2 linked regions of the Arabidopsis thaliana genome follow. The protein of the gene in region 1 interacts with the protein of each later gene in a pairwise test. Each region holds a gene or a part of one and is shown on either strand. Other genes may lie near its edges.

The links. The genes of interacting proteins can lie anywhere in the genome.
Region 2: the proteins of PEP (region 1) and RR1 interact in a two-hybrid assay, tested with the Arabidopsis thaliana proteins (one large-scale study listed by BioGRID).

The regions. Positions count from the first base shown.
Region 1 is NC_003075.7:13,194,642-13,200,635, reverse strand, and holds PEP (RNA-binding KH domain-containing protein), read right to left. Parts: upstream 3,568-5,994; 5' UTR 3,357-3,567; coding exon 2,997-3,356; intron 2,763-2,996; coding exon 2,510-2,762; intron 2,351-2,509; coding exon 2,202-2,350; intron 2,120-2,201; coding exon 1,862-2,119; intron 1,704-1,861; coding exon 1,512-1,703; intron 1,373-1,511; coding exon 1,097-1,372; 3' UTR 795-1,096; downstream 1-794. Other genes in the region: AT4G26010 (Peroxidase superfamily protein), read right to left, coding at 1-67. UniProt on the Arabidopsis thaliana protein: Regulates vegetative and gynoecium development. In concert with HUA2, antagonizes FLK by positively regulating FLC probably at transcriptional and post-transcriptional levels, and thus acts as a negative regulator of flowering.
Region 2 is NC_003074.8:5,753,725-5,760,513, forward strand, and holds RR1 (response regulator 1), read left to right. Parts: upstream 1-2,096; 5' UTR 2,097-2,388; coding exon 2,389-2,575; intron 2,576-2,631; exon of another isoform or gene 2,632-2,990; intron 2,991-3,072; coding exon 3,073-3,225; intron 3,226-3,308; coding exon 3,309-3,749; intron 3,750-3,822; coding exon 3,823-3,899; intron 3,900-3,977; coding exon 3,978-5,123; coding exon of another isoform or gene 5,124-5,129; exon of another isoform or gene 5,130-5,346; coding exon 5,347-5,415; 3' UTR 5,416-5,719; downstream 5,720-6,789. Other genes in the region: COBL8 (COBRA-like protein 8 precursor), read right to left, coding at 5,919-6,789.

The sequences.
Region 1 (5,994 bases):
CCCTTCCCTCTCCTGTGAATGATACTTGCAAGTTTTGTGATGAAATTCTAAGCCCCCGTAAATGCATATTTATATGTAGTTTTGGGGATAAGACATTGGCAAAGTAGAGAATGTTTCAATTAGAAGACGTGCATAATTGTAACGGTCGATACATTGACATTTGACGGGTTAGAGGAATCTATTAGGTATATAGGTAGTACCTGTTCTTTAATATTTGTTTTCATTGACAATAGAATGATTCCACGCGTCAAAGATTTGATTAATGGCCAACTTGCTGCGTTCAACATAATTCTGTCGATATCGAAAGGATACCACGTCTATGTCGATAGGTGGATTCTCTTTTGTTTAATTTTGTGATACATATACCTCTTTTCAGCCGTCCTTATTTATTATATTTGCTCTCTTAAAAACAAGAAGCTGTAAAAATGAAAATATAGCAAGGATTGTTTCTTGACGAAAAAAAGAAGAAGAAGCAAGGATTGTTTCTTGCAAGGATTGTTTCTTACGGTTTGAAGAAATAAAAAGTTAAAAACAGGCCTTAATCAGGTTTTAAAATGTGTAAAAATCATGAAATATACAACTTAAACACCTAGAGAATATTACTATATCATGTAAAACTACAAATATGGAATGATTGGTACATTTTTTCTGTCTGATCTTTTCCGTTACTAGTTACGAATGGACATTGAAATCAAAAAGTCTCATGTGGTTTGGTTCTTCGGAGAATGCTTTCATATTAGCATCATCAGATCAAAATAGAAAGCTTAAACTTATTCAATTAAGAAAAAGCTCCTACAGGTTATTGTTGTAAAACGTTAACTAAAAATTTCTTAAAACTGAATCATTCTGACTTCTGATAAACAAATTCATACAAAAAAGAAAGAAAAAACATGTTCTTATTTGACCAGAAACGTAGTGTGACATATATCGAGGTATGAAAAAAAAAAAAAAAAAGGGCACCTAGATTTACATTACACATTCCAACAACTACATTGGCTCTCTAGAACTTGTTCCTTTTCCCTCTCTATTATATTATAAATGAGCCTTTCTCTAAAGAGAAATTAATCTGCAAATAAACTTAAACACAGCAACCAATTCAAAGATTATAACTGCTGTAGCCACCAACATCAGAAGCTGGTCTATATTCCGAACCATAAGTTTGCCCAGTCAGGGTCGGTGTGTAGGTAGAAGGACCCCCCAGCTGAGAGTATGCTGTTGGTCTGTACTGCACCGGCTCTGTGCCCATGTAGGTGCTCGGGAGCGGCTCTTGACGGTTACTTAGCTGAGGAGGATATGCAGGTACATATCCAGAGTCGATTCTGGCATATCCCCCTGATACCGAAACTGGTTCCTTGTGATTGATGATGAACTCCTACACACACGTAAACAAAAGAATACGGTTATGATGAAGCAGGCGGGGTAGGATGCAAAGCAAGCATAATCTTAGTGTTTATACAATGCCACGTCGCAGAAAGTATATATATATATATACAGATCGAATGTGTTCTTACTTGAATTAGTTGCTCAGCAGTTTGTACTTGAGAAGTTGTGCCTTTGATTTCCACTGTGATTTGATCAGGATGCGGACTCTCTTTAATGGTTATGGTAGCTCCGCTTCTTCGACGGATATAGGCTATATTAGCTCCTTCTACACCAATAATATCCTCTGCATAGGAGAATGGTATTTGCATCGTTTGAGATACCTAGTAAGAGAATCCATTATAGAAACGTCACTACTAGTTCAGAGAAACAAGTTAGATGTGTTAAGATCAAAATCACTGCTGGAAGACTAATCATAACAAGTAAGATGATATCGCTAAACTCGTTTTCAGGAGCTGATGTTGTATTTAAGGGAATCTACCTGTGTCACAAAAGCAGAAGAAACCCGAGCAAGACCTGGGGAGTGTCTGGCAGACAGTACAGGATCCTGACTGTAGATAGAAACTCCCGAAGGCTGAACACGTGAGTCCACCCGAGAATCGCGCTCCAGAAACAAAGGTTCCCTCCGTGCTAAGAGGGAGAAATCAGGCTCCATTAGATTTGACGAAATAGTATGCAGAGATGACTTGCTTTCAGCTAACGGTTCTTCCTGGCGAGTTTGAGAGACCCTAGCTAGATACTGAAGATAAGAAAAGATAACAATAATTCAGAAAAGAAAAAAAAGGGAAAGGAATAATCTCGATTGAAACAAGCAAGCTTACTTGCTTCTCGAAGAGAGGGACAACAGTATGGTCAACTAAAAATCTCCTAAGGTGTCCAACAATGGCTTCTAATGCTTTAAGAATCTTTAAAGCTTCCCCTTGCAAATCCACTATCCTCTCATCCTGTGCAGCATAAAACGGTGTTTCCTCTGGCAGAAAAAAGTAGAGAAATAAGAAACTGGCAACAAAGACACCAATTTTAGAAAAAAAAACAGACATGAATTGAAATAGCAAAAACTAAACTTTAACAATCACAAACAAAGAGATCAATTAGGTAAAAACAGAAAACTGCAGATGATAGATAATACCTTCTGATAAAATACGAACTGATGCACCAGAGTTCTCTACTATAGACTTAATCAAAGATCCTTGTTTTCCAATCAAATTAATCGCCTGCGTTGAAGCAACTAATAAACGCACTGAAGAGAAGACACTTCCAGCGTTTTGAACATCATCATCATCATTATCAGGCAACCCTGAAACACGTCTAAACACCCTCAACACTGCGTCCATTGCCGGTGACATGTAGGCCTCTGGTTCTTCCTTACCAGATATTAACACCTAAAACATAACATTGAGCAAGTAATTAACTTAGTGAACACTTCAAACTATAATTGGAACCATAAAGTAATCAAATTGCACAACTAGGGGATAAAAGTTCACAACTTTAATGATCACAACTCAAGAATCTTCCTACTTATGATTAAGAAACCCTAGAAATAGAAATTAAAAATCCCCAAATTCGAATTAGCTTTGAACACAGTAAATCACGTAGAAGGAGATAGAGATACTAACGATGCGATCGGGAGTATTAACAGGACCATCAAGGACTTTGATACGAGCACGAGTCTCCTCACACATCTTCTTTATAAAGTCACCTTTGCGTCCAATAATAGCTCCGACTTTAGTCACCGGAACGATCATACGAAACACGCAATCACCAGGCCAACCTGGCCACCTCTCCTCCGCGGAATCGTTCGTATCGGGGAAGGTAGTCTCAGCAGCAGCTAAGCTATCGGGCTGATTCAATTCAGGGAAAGCGCCAGAGTTTTCGTCAAGCAATGCGGCGGCACTGAATCCCGCCGGTATAAGGTTTTCATTCTCAGGGAGGTTTATGGAACCGTTGTTCTCAACGGAATCTGCGACGGCGGCCATTTGAACCGGTAACACAAAAAAGATAGCTAAAGAGAGAGACTTTTTAACCTCTGGTGGTGGTTATAGGAATCGCCGCTGTCATATCGTACGACGTCGTTTTGGCTTAATGGTTTGGGCTTTTCGATATGAAACCATTTTAGCCCATTTGCTATCATTTTTGTTTTGTCGAAAAATTGTCCATATGAGCTATGTATTAGGTCTATGTTTAACCAAAGAATGAATACTCCAACTCTTCTCTACTTGGGTATATGTTTGAAGCTTAGGATATTAAGAAAAAATGTTTCACCATATATTTTAATGTTATGTTATATCATATGTATCTATATATAGTATTTTCTTAAATATATGTTTGAAGCTTACTACATAGTAACATACTAGTCATGCTTTCTTTTATACTTTTCCCCCTAAACTCAATCATATGTGGTTTCAACTTTTCTAAGTCATTCACTATTTTGCATGATTTGTATTGATTAAAATAGTTACGATGAATATCCACAGTAATAGCCGCAATCAATTAACAATATAAATAGATATGTAAATAAGAACATTTTCGAACAATATAATAGAATACTATATGAGACAGAAGTGTATTATTATTCATTATACCGTAATTTTGGAAGATTTTAGTTAATATCCGTTGTCTTCATATGCAATATGCAATGGGGATGAAAGGGACGTAACATAGAAATTATCTGCTGGCCCGTAAGATACTTATCTCTCTGCCGCTGCGAGTCCCTTTTTGTATCTTAGTTTTTTAGACTTTCTTGATTTAAGAAAAAAAAACAGTTTGTTTCTATCTAAGTTTTTGATCTTTGATCAAACATTTTTTTTTGGATCAGAAACTAAAATGAGATTTTAAACCGAAGAAGGAAAGTGAAAGACGATGCTATTGAATGAGTCCGTCCCCCATGCTGAATTAAAATTGGGAATTTAGGGCAAAACATATATACGTGTATACGTACGATAATGGTCCCCTCAATACACGTAGATATGTAATGGAAGAGAGTTCACTTGTAGTTTGTAACTATTTGGGTCAATCTTGTACAGTGCCCTAATCGACTCTCAAGGGTCACATGCTTAACATCATACTTATACATTTATCACATTTGAAGTGTCTACTTGCATGAATTGAACTTTTTTTAGTTACTTTCCGAACAATTTCTTACATATATTTATTAGCACTATTTAGCTCTAACTAATTACATCATTACTAATTAACGTCCCCAATCTGTCTATTCAACACCTATGAAAGGTAACATCTACCGTGATGTCAAAAAGAAAAGGTAACATCCATCAACCGTTAATAAGCATTAAACCGCTTTAAATATCTTTGTTATCCAAAGGTAACTAACAGTAACATTAATTAGGCATATATATACATCATCATGGAACACAAACAATCTTCTATTCCTTTACTTCCATTTCCATCGACCAATTAGATTGATGCTCCTTAAAAATGTTTGATGAAGATGTGCTTTACCACTCCAATACATTTGTTTTATATTCAAATCTTTTTTAATGTCTGCTTTTCTTTTATAGTACAAAACTCAGATATGAATTTGAAGATAGATTGAATATTCTGCTTAAAAGGAGAAAAGCTGAAGAAAAGAAAGTAGAAGACGACAGGTCACATGTTGACATGTTGTCATAAGAAAAGAAAGAGTAATAACATAAGAAGATTCCAAAAAATAAAAATTAACTGGGATGGACTTTGGAGACGGTGGCCAGTGTTGGCAGAGAGAGGTTTTATCCTTTCTTTTCTCTATAGAAATAAAATCTCATATTTCCCTCCTTACTAAGTTATAGATTCTCCTCGTATATATATGTACACATATGTTCAATGACTGATGGGAATATAATCTTTAAATATGTTAACTCAAGTACTAAAATTCTCATTTTTCTACGTCTTGTCTTGTTAAATACATAGGAAAATGACTGGTGGGAATATAATCTAGTATATGACAAAGACAAAACTACGTATATTCATCCCTATATTCATCTGATTGTGTGAAAAAAAGAAAAAGAGTAAACGTATTCATATCGATACATGAGAAAATACTACTGTTCAATAGCAGTAACATACTAAACTCGTTTGACACAAACAATCGAAATAATCTCTAAGAAACTGTAAGAAAATCTAACGCTATGACGAAAACGTATGATTGCCCTCTGCCACATATCACTTCCGAATGATACCAAATGGGTCCAATCGTTTCTCATTACCCAATAGCCACGCGACTCTCTTTCTCTCACTCTCCACATTTTAACTTTGAATGAATTTACCTTGCGGAAAAAATTACGACTTACTTCAAACTATAGTCAATAATTTATATTTGTTTTTTTTTTCACAATTTGGTATTATTCTACAATAAGTCTTATTTTAGAAGTTGAGGGTTTTAGTCCAGTCGTTGGGGTTCTAGGGATGTATGAAGACGATAACTTATTTCGAACTGTTATATCCATATAAGAAACAGCACATGGTGCTCTTGTTTTGGTTGATGTAAATCAAGAAATCTTCTTAGTCACATATCTAAAATTCGGTCTAGAAATAGTTTTAGATATTTGAAAAATATGTTAAGCAGATAAAGTTACTTTAGCCATATGTTACATTCCAATGCCAAATTGAAGTTTCCTAGTG
Region 2 (6,789 bases), on another chromosome or scaffold:
AAAGCTATTAGAAAAAAAAGCTACTAAACATGAAATTATGAGTATATCTTTCTTAAACTCAAATTCAAGCTCTCGTGGTAATAAGTGGCTATTGACGATAACAATTACAAGTTGGAATGTTGAATAGTTTCGTTTTTTTTATTTCTATTAATGTTTTTAAAATGATTGTTGAAATAGGGAAAATTTAACAAATGAAGACAACGATAGATGGAGAGGTCGATGCAAATGGTTCGAGTGATCTTATCCATTTCATGTGGACACGTGTCGCAATAGGGAAAGCTTCTCAGCAACGTGATTTATTTGTTTTTTTCTTATCATTAAATGTTTTCATTTTATTCTTCGAAATATACACATGTACAGTATTTCCAAAAGAAAATACACTATAGTTGATAGTTCATAAAAATTAAAGAAATACTTAATTGATTTAATATTCGTATTGTTGAGTTTTCCTTCTAAATACTACAAGTAGTGAATTTTACTTGATAACATTGATTAATGTAAGAAATTAGGTATCGATGCACATATGAAACAAGTCGTATGTCACACTTAAAACTATCGTTAATTTGAAAAAGATAAGACATGTCGGCGGTGCTAAACAACTATTTAAGCAAAGTATACACTGAACTTGGATAACTTAGATATAGTTTACATTGAAGTTGACAAATTTACACATTTATAAATAAGTTACTGGTTTGTATGTGTTTATAAATATGTCGTAGAGCAATCGAATAGTCAAATATGATTTGTTATCCTATACATTATTAAAAATATACTTTCGGGGGAATAGGGCGATTGGTGGGTAGCATATGATGTTACTAATCATTCAGATGAACCATTTGCATTATTTCTTTGTTTATTTAGTATCCAACGTTTTAAGAGAAGAAGCGCACATGTTTTTTTTTGCACCATATACTGACTACTGTTGTTGTAAACTTGTAATTATACATACATATATATATATATATATATATATATATATGTTTTCAACAATCAAACGTACAATTTTTTTCTATTTTCCATTTAATACAATTTATTTCCTAGAACTACAAGTTGTTTTTGATTAAAACATGAAAAGTATACTATATAAGTTATATTCTTACTAATCATAGTTACACACGACTTGAAATAAATACATACTAAAAAATTTGGAAGGTTATATGTTTAATTTGCACCAAAAAAGGCATCGAGTAATCTTATGTTATGTATACATCATATATCTGGTTTTTTTTTGTTGATAAAAGTATATGTACTATATCTTAGCTAAAGATGTAGGTGATGATGGGAAATGCTTAGGTGTATTTTGGTACCTTAATCATATGCTTGAATGTGCGTAGACGTATTATTTTGTTTAATTTAATGATATGATTATATTTTTATTTTGCCGTTTAATTTAATACATGTAGGTCCAATAGACAGGAGGCATTGTTTCTCAATTACATAAATTCAAAGGGTAGTTTAGTAAATAAATTATAGGCATATCAAAACTAAGAATTTTTTATATATATATGCAGCTGCTCTTTTGTTTAAGGCAAATTCCTATTCGAAATTGGTAGAAAATGGAAATTAAAACAAAAAATTAGGAAACTAACAACAATAATACTAATGAAAATCTATTAAGGTTTGAGTTTGCAAACTTTACATATGACGAGTTAATTAATTTTTTCATGCATGAGCTGGATCCACGAATCAAGGGTCTTTGGTCCCACTTTCTTCCCAATTATATAAATTTCCTTACCCTATATTTCTTTCATTGATGATTCAACCCCTATATTTCACTACTTCACAAAATAACCCAGAATTTGAGCTCAAAGCAACATCCAAAATGTTCTTCTAAATAGAAAAATAAAACAGAATATAGAACAATAGTACATATAATATACAAAACTAACTTGTAAGAAATTGAGAATAAAAAAGAGAGTGGATCTAAATGAAATTTAATAAAACCAATAGTCTAAATGTAGAGAGAATGATGAAAATAAAGGACATGTCAGCTTCTACATATATGTAAATAAAAAATATATATGACTGAGTATATAAAAACCACATTTTTTTTTTCTTCTGCATCTAAATGTTACAAAAATTGAATAGGAAAAATTAAGAGAGCTTTACTCTGTGAATAAATAAAAAAACAGAGAAAAAGAGCTCTAAGGTGAGACAAGCCTTGTCTTCTTCAACTCCCTAAGTCTCATCTCACCATCTCTCTCTTCTTCTTTTTTTTGGTTACCCAGAAGAGATTCACTTCTATCTCCAACAATTTCGTATTCTCTCATAATATTCAATTTTAAATCGAATAAAACTCGCGTCAATTTCCCCTCTTTCTTTCTGGGTATATATTCTTTTCTGCTTTTCTTTTTTTGTTTCTTGGGTTCGAGCTACATAGAGAGAGGTATGATGAATCCGAGTCACGGAAGAGGACTCGGATCGGCTGGTGGGTCCAGCTCCGGTAGAAATCAAGGAGGTGGTGGTGAGACCGTCGTCGAGATGTTTCCTTCTGGTCTTCGAGTTCTTGTCGTTGACGATGACCCAACTTGTCTCATGATCTTAGAGAGGATGCTTAGGACTTGTCTTTACGAAGGTTCGTATCCAAAAACCAAGATCTTCTCTTTTCATTTTTTTTTTTTTTTTTTTGTTCGTTTAATCTCACGAGAGAGAGAGAGAGAGAGAGAGAAAGAGAGTTCATGGTCTCTTGCTCCAATGATGGGTTTATTTGTGGTCCATTCTCGAAAATTATGTTATTTTGAGGAATAATTATGGTTTTCATATCGGTGGTTGACTAACTTTGCTCCCCCTTTAATAGAAACCATTTTGGTTACTTTTTAAGATTCACATATTAATCTCGAGCTTCTTCATTTAGATCACACCATTTTGATCTACTGATAGATTCACATGTAGATCCATTGTATATAATAAGTTAGGGGAGGTTTCAAATGGATTCAAATCTTGAGTCTTTGATCTTTGACTTGAGTTTTGGTTAAATGTCAATTCATGAGGTCCTTGTTGTCAGAATTCAAATCTCTGTTTTTTTCTTTTATCTTTGAAGATATGAAACATTTTGGTTGTTATGACATGCAGTAACGAAATGCAACAGAGCAGAGATGGCATTGTCTCTGCTCCGGAAGAACAAACATGGATTCGATATAGTAATCAGTGATGTTCATATGCCTGACATGGACGGTTTCAAGCTTCTTGAGCATGTTGGTCTAGAGATGGACTTACCTGTTATCAGTAACGTTCTTTTTACTCCCTCAAATCTCATCTAAGTTTGAATCTTTTTTTATAGATTATTGATCTTGTATTCGTTTAACTAGTGATGTCTGCGGATGATTCAAAGAGTGTGGTTCTAAAGGGAGTAACGCACGGTGCGGTTGATTACCTTATCAAGCCTGTACGTATGGAGGCACTTAAGAACATATGGCAGCATGTAGTTAGGAAGAGGAGAAGTGAATGGAGTGTACCGGAACATTCTGGGAGCATTGAGGAGACTGGCGAGAGACAGCAGCAGCAACATAGAGGAGGTGGTGGTGGTGCAGCTGTTTCTGGTGGAGAGGATGCGGTGGATGATAACTCATCCTCGGTTAACGAAGGTAACAATTGGAGGAGCAGTTCACGGAAGAGGAAAGACGAGGAAGGAGAAGAGCAAGGAGATGATAAGGACGAAGATGCGTCGAATTTGAAGAAACCGCGTGTCGTCTGGTCTGTTGAATTGCATCAGCAGTTTGTTGCTGCTGTTAATCAGCTCGGCGTTGAGAGTAAGACTAAAACTTCTTACATTTGCATTTGTGATTGTTATGCTCAGGGTCTAAATGATCTTCTATGGCGCAGAGGCGGTTCCTAAAAAGATCTTAGAGCTGATGAATGTTCCTGGTCTAACCCGAGAAAACGTAGCAAGTCACCTCCAGGTATAAATCTTATACTGGATACCAAAATGAGCCATTGAAATGCTTAGATGTTCTTAGCGGCTTTATGTGGACTTGCAGAAATACCGGATATATCTAAGACGGCTTGGAGGGGTATCGCAGCACCAAGGCAATCTTAACAACTCGTTTATGACGGGTCAGGATGCGAGCTTCGGACCTCTTTCGACATTGAATGGGTTTGATCTTCAAGCACTAGCCGTCACAGGTCAGTTACCTGCACAGAGTCTTGCACAGCTTCAAGCCGCTGGTTTAGGCCGGCCTGCGATGGTCTCTAAGTCAGGTTTGCCGGTTTCCTCCATTGTGGATGAGAGAAGCATCTTCAGCTTTGACAACACGAAAACAAGATTTGGAGAAGGGCTTGGGCATCACGGGCAACAACCCCAACAGCAACCACAGATGAACTTACTTCACGGTGTCCCCACGGGTTTACAACAGCAGCTTCCTATGGGTAATCGAATGAGTATTCAACAACAGATTGCTGCTGTTCGAGCTGGAAATAGTGTTCAAAACAACGGAATGCTGATGCCTCTAGCGGGTCAGCAGTCTTTGCCTCGGGGACCACCGCCTATGCTAACCTCTTCGCAATCATCCATCAGGCAGCCGATGTTATCAAACCGCATTTCCGAGAGAAGTGGTTTCTCTGGAAGGAACAATATCCCCGAGAGCAGCAGAGTGTTACCGACAAGTTACACTAATCTCACAACACAACACTCATCAAGCTCGATGCCTTATAACAACTTCCAACCAGAACTTCCCGTGAACAGTTTCCCGCTGGCAAGTGCACCAGGGATATCAGTACCGGTTCGGAAAGCCACTTCTTACCAGGAAGAGGTTAACAGCTCCGAAGCGGGTTTCACTACGCCGAGCTACGACATGTTCACCACCAGACAGAATGATTGGGATCTGAGGAATATTGGAATAGCCTTTGACTCACATCAGGACTCAGAATCCGCTGCGTTTTCCGCTTCAGAAGCCTACTCTTCTTCGTCCATGTCAAGACACAACACGACAGTTGCAGCCACCGAGCATGGCCGAAACCACCAGCAGCCACCATCGGGAATGGTACAGCACCATCAGGTTTATGCAGACGGAAACGGTGGTTCAGTGAGGGTGAAATCAGAGAGAGTGGCTACGGATACAGCAACAATGGCGTTTCACGAGCAGTATAGTAATCAAGAAGATCTTATGAGCGCACTTCTTAAGCAGGTTTGATTTGATTTTTTTTTTTTTGTCAAACTTATATAGAAGCATAATCTGATCCGTCAACGTACATGTTTGCGTTCAAAATCAAATATATAACAACTCTCAGACGCTTTCTCACCATTGGTCGCATGTCTTTTTCATAATAATGCAAATTACAACTAAATAACAAAAAAAATCAGTGAACCAAAAAAGTTGAAAAACACAATCTTGAATTATTGATATACAGGAAGGGATTGCACCGGTTGATGGCGAATTCGACTTTGACGCATACTCCATCGATAACATTCCGGTTTGATTGGATAAAAAAACCGATAAACCGGAGGGACTACCCGGATCTGTACTGTATCATTTTTACACGACGATCTACTAAAACTTGTTTGATATATATGTAGTCTGCATGAAATTTTAAATGGCAGATTATATAAGAAATAATTATTCATGTTAGGGGTTAATATCCTTGGAGATTCTTTTGTTCCTCATTTATGTAGTGAGGCTGTTTAGGGTTTTGTAAGTATGTATTTCGAGTAAATGCTTAGAATAATTCGAACAAACTTAATTTAGTACAACGCCACAACGTGAAATCAAAGCAATTCAAGATCAAAACACAAAGGGATTTGTCTGTTCAATATTTGTATGTATACATACTGATTACTAAAATCTGATCATACGAAATTCAAGAATCACACGGTGCACAAAGCACCACTAGTAGTAGAAGTAATTCTGCATCAAATCTGGTTAGAAAGAATCAAGAAAACTGTATATTTTCTGGCTAATGAGGAAAGTCCTTCACTGGAACTTTTAAATCCGAAGAAACAGTAGAGCCAAAAATGGTGTCAGGATGAGAAGAAAGGTGGATACATGTTTCCTGTGACTGTTGCTCGTGGGTAGTACAGAAGGGAGTGAACATTCCTGGCCGTTGAAGAGTACTTTGGTGGGAAACCCATCTTTGGAACCAACTTTGATTCCAGGAGTCAGTTTCTTGGTGAAGGAGATAACCGACTGCTGTTTCCCGGGTATCCGAAAGTCTTCACTCGGGTTTTTTCCGTCTTTCTCTGCAAGGAGATAGTTCAGTCCAGGGAGCCCTTCCATTAAAACAGTTGTGTTCTTCCCGTTGACCGCGATGATACTTCCGTTAAACGAGTACGCTTTCTGAAAACCGGGTGCAGCATTTCTCAGTTCAACCGCGGTAAACCAATCCACGAAATCAGTATCACCCCAGTTGAAGAGTGTGACTCGAGCAGTCCATCCGCCTCGATAGTCTGTAGCTAGGTGCCAGTTTATGCTGACTCCACAGTTATCTCCACAAGGTAATGGGTCCGGGACTTTCCGGTTTTTTAACACTGCCCAAGCGTTGGTAAGTTTGGTTCGGTTGTCAAATGGAATTAGAAGAGCCTGATATGGAAGAGGAAGAGCTGGAGAAGTTGTGCTGCAAGTACGCGCCACTCTGTCGCTAGAGCAACCTCCACAAGCGCAGGTCTTACACGGGATTACTGAGTCATTGAAATAAGAAGAGAATGAGACGCAGCATTTAGGAGGAGTTGGTTGAGTGATGTTGCAGACGACTTGCCAGCTAGCAAATGCACTCTTGTTTGAAGGCAAACCGCTTGTATCAGGGAACTGGCTTGAGCTGACACGAAGAGGAGGGCCACATTTGTAATCCGGGTTAAGG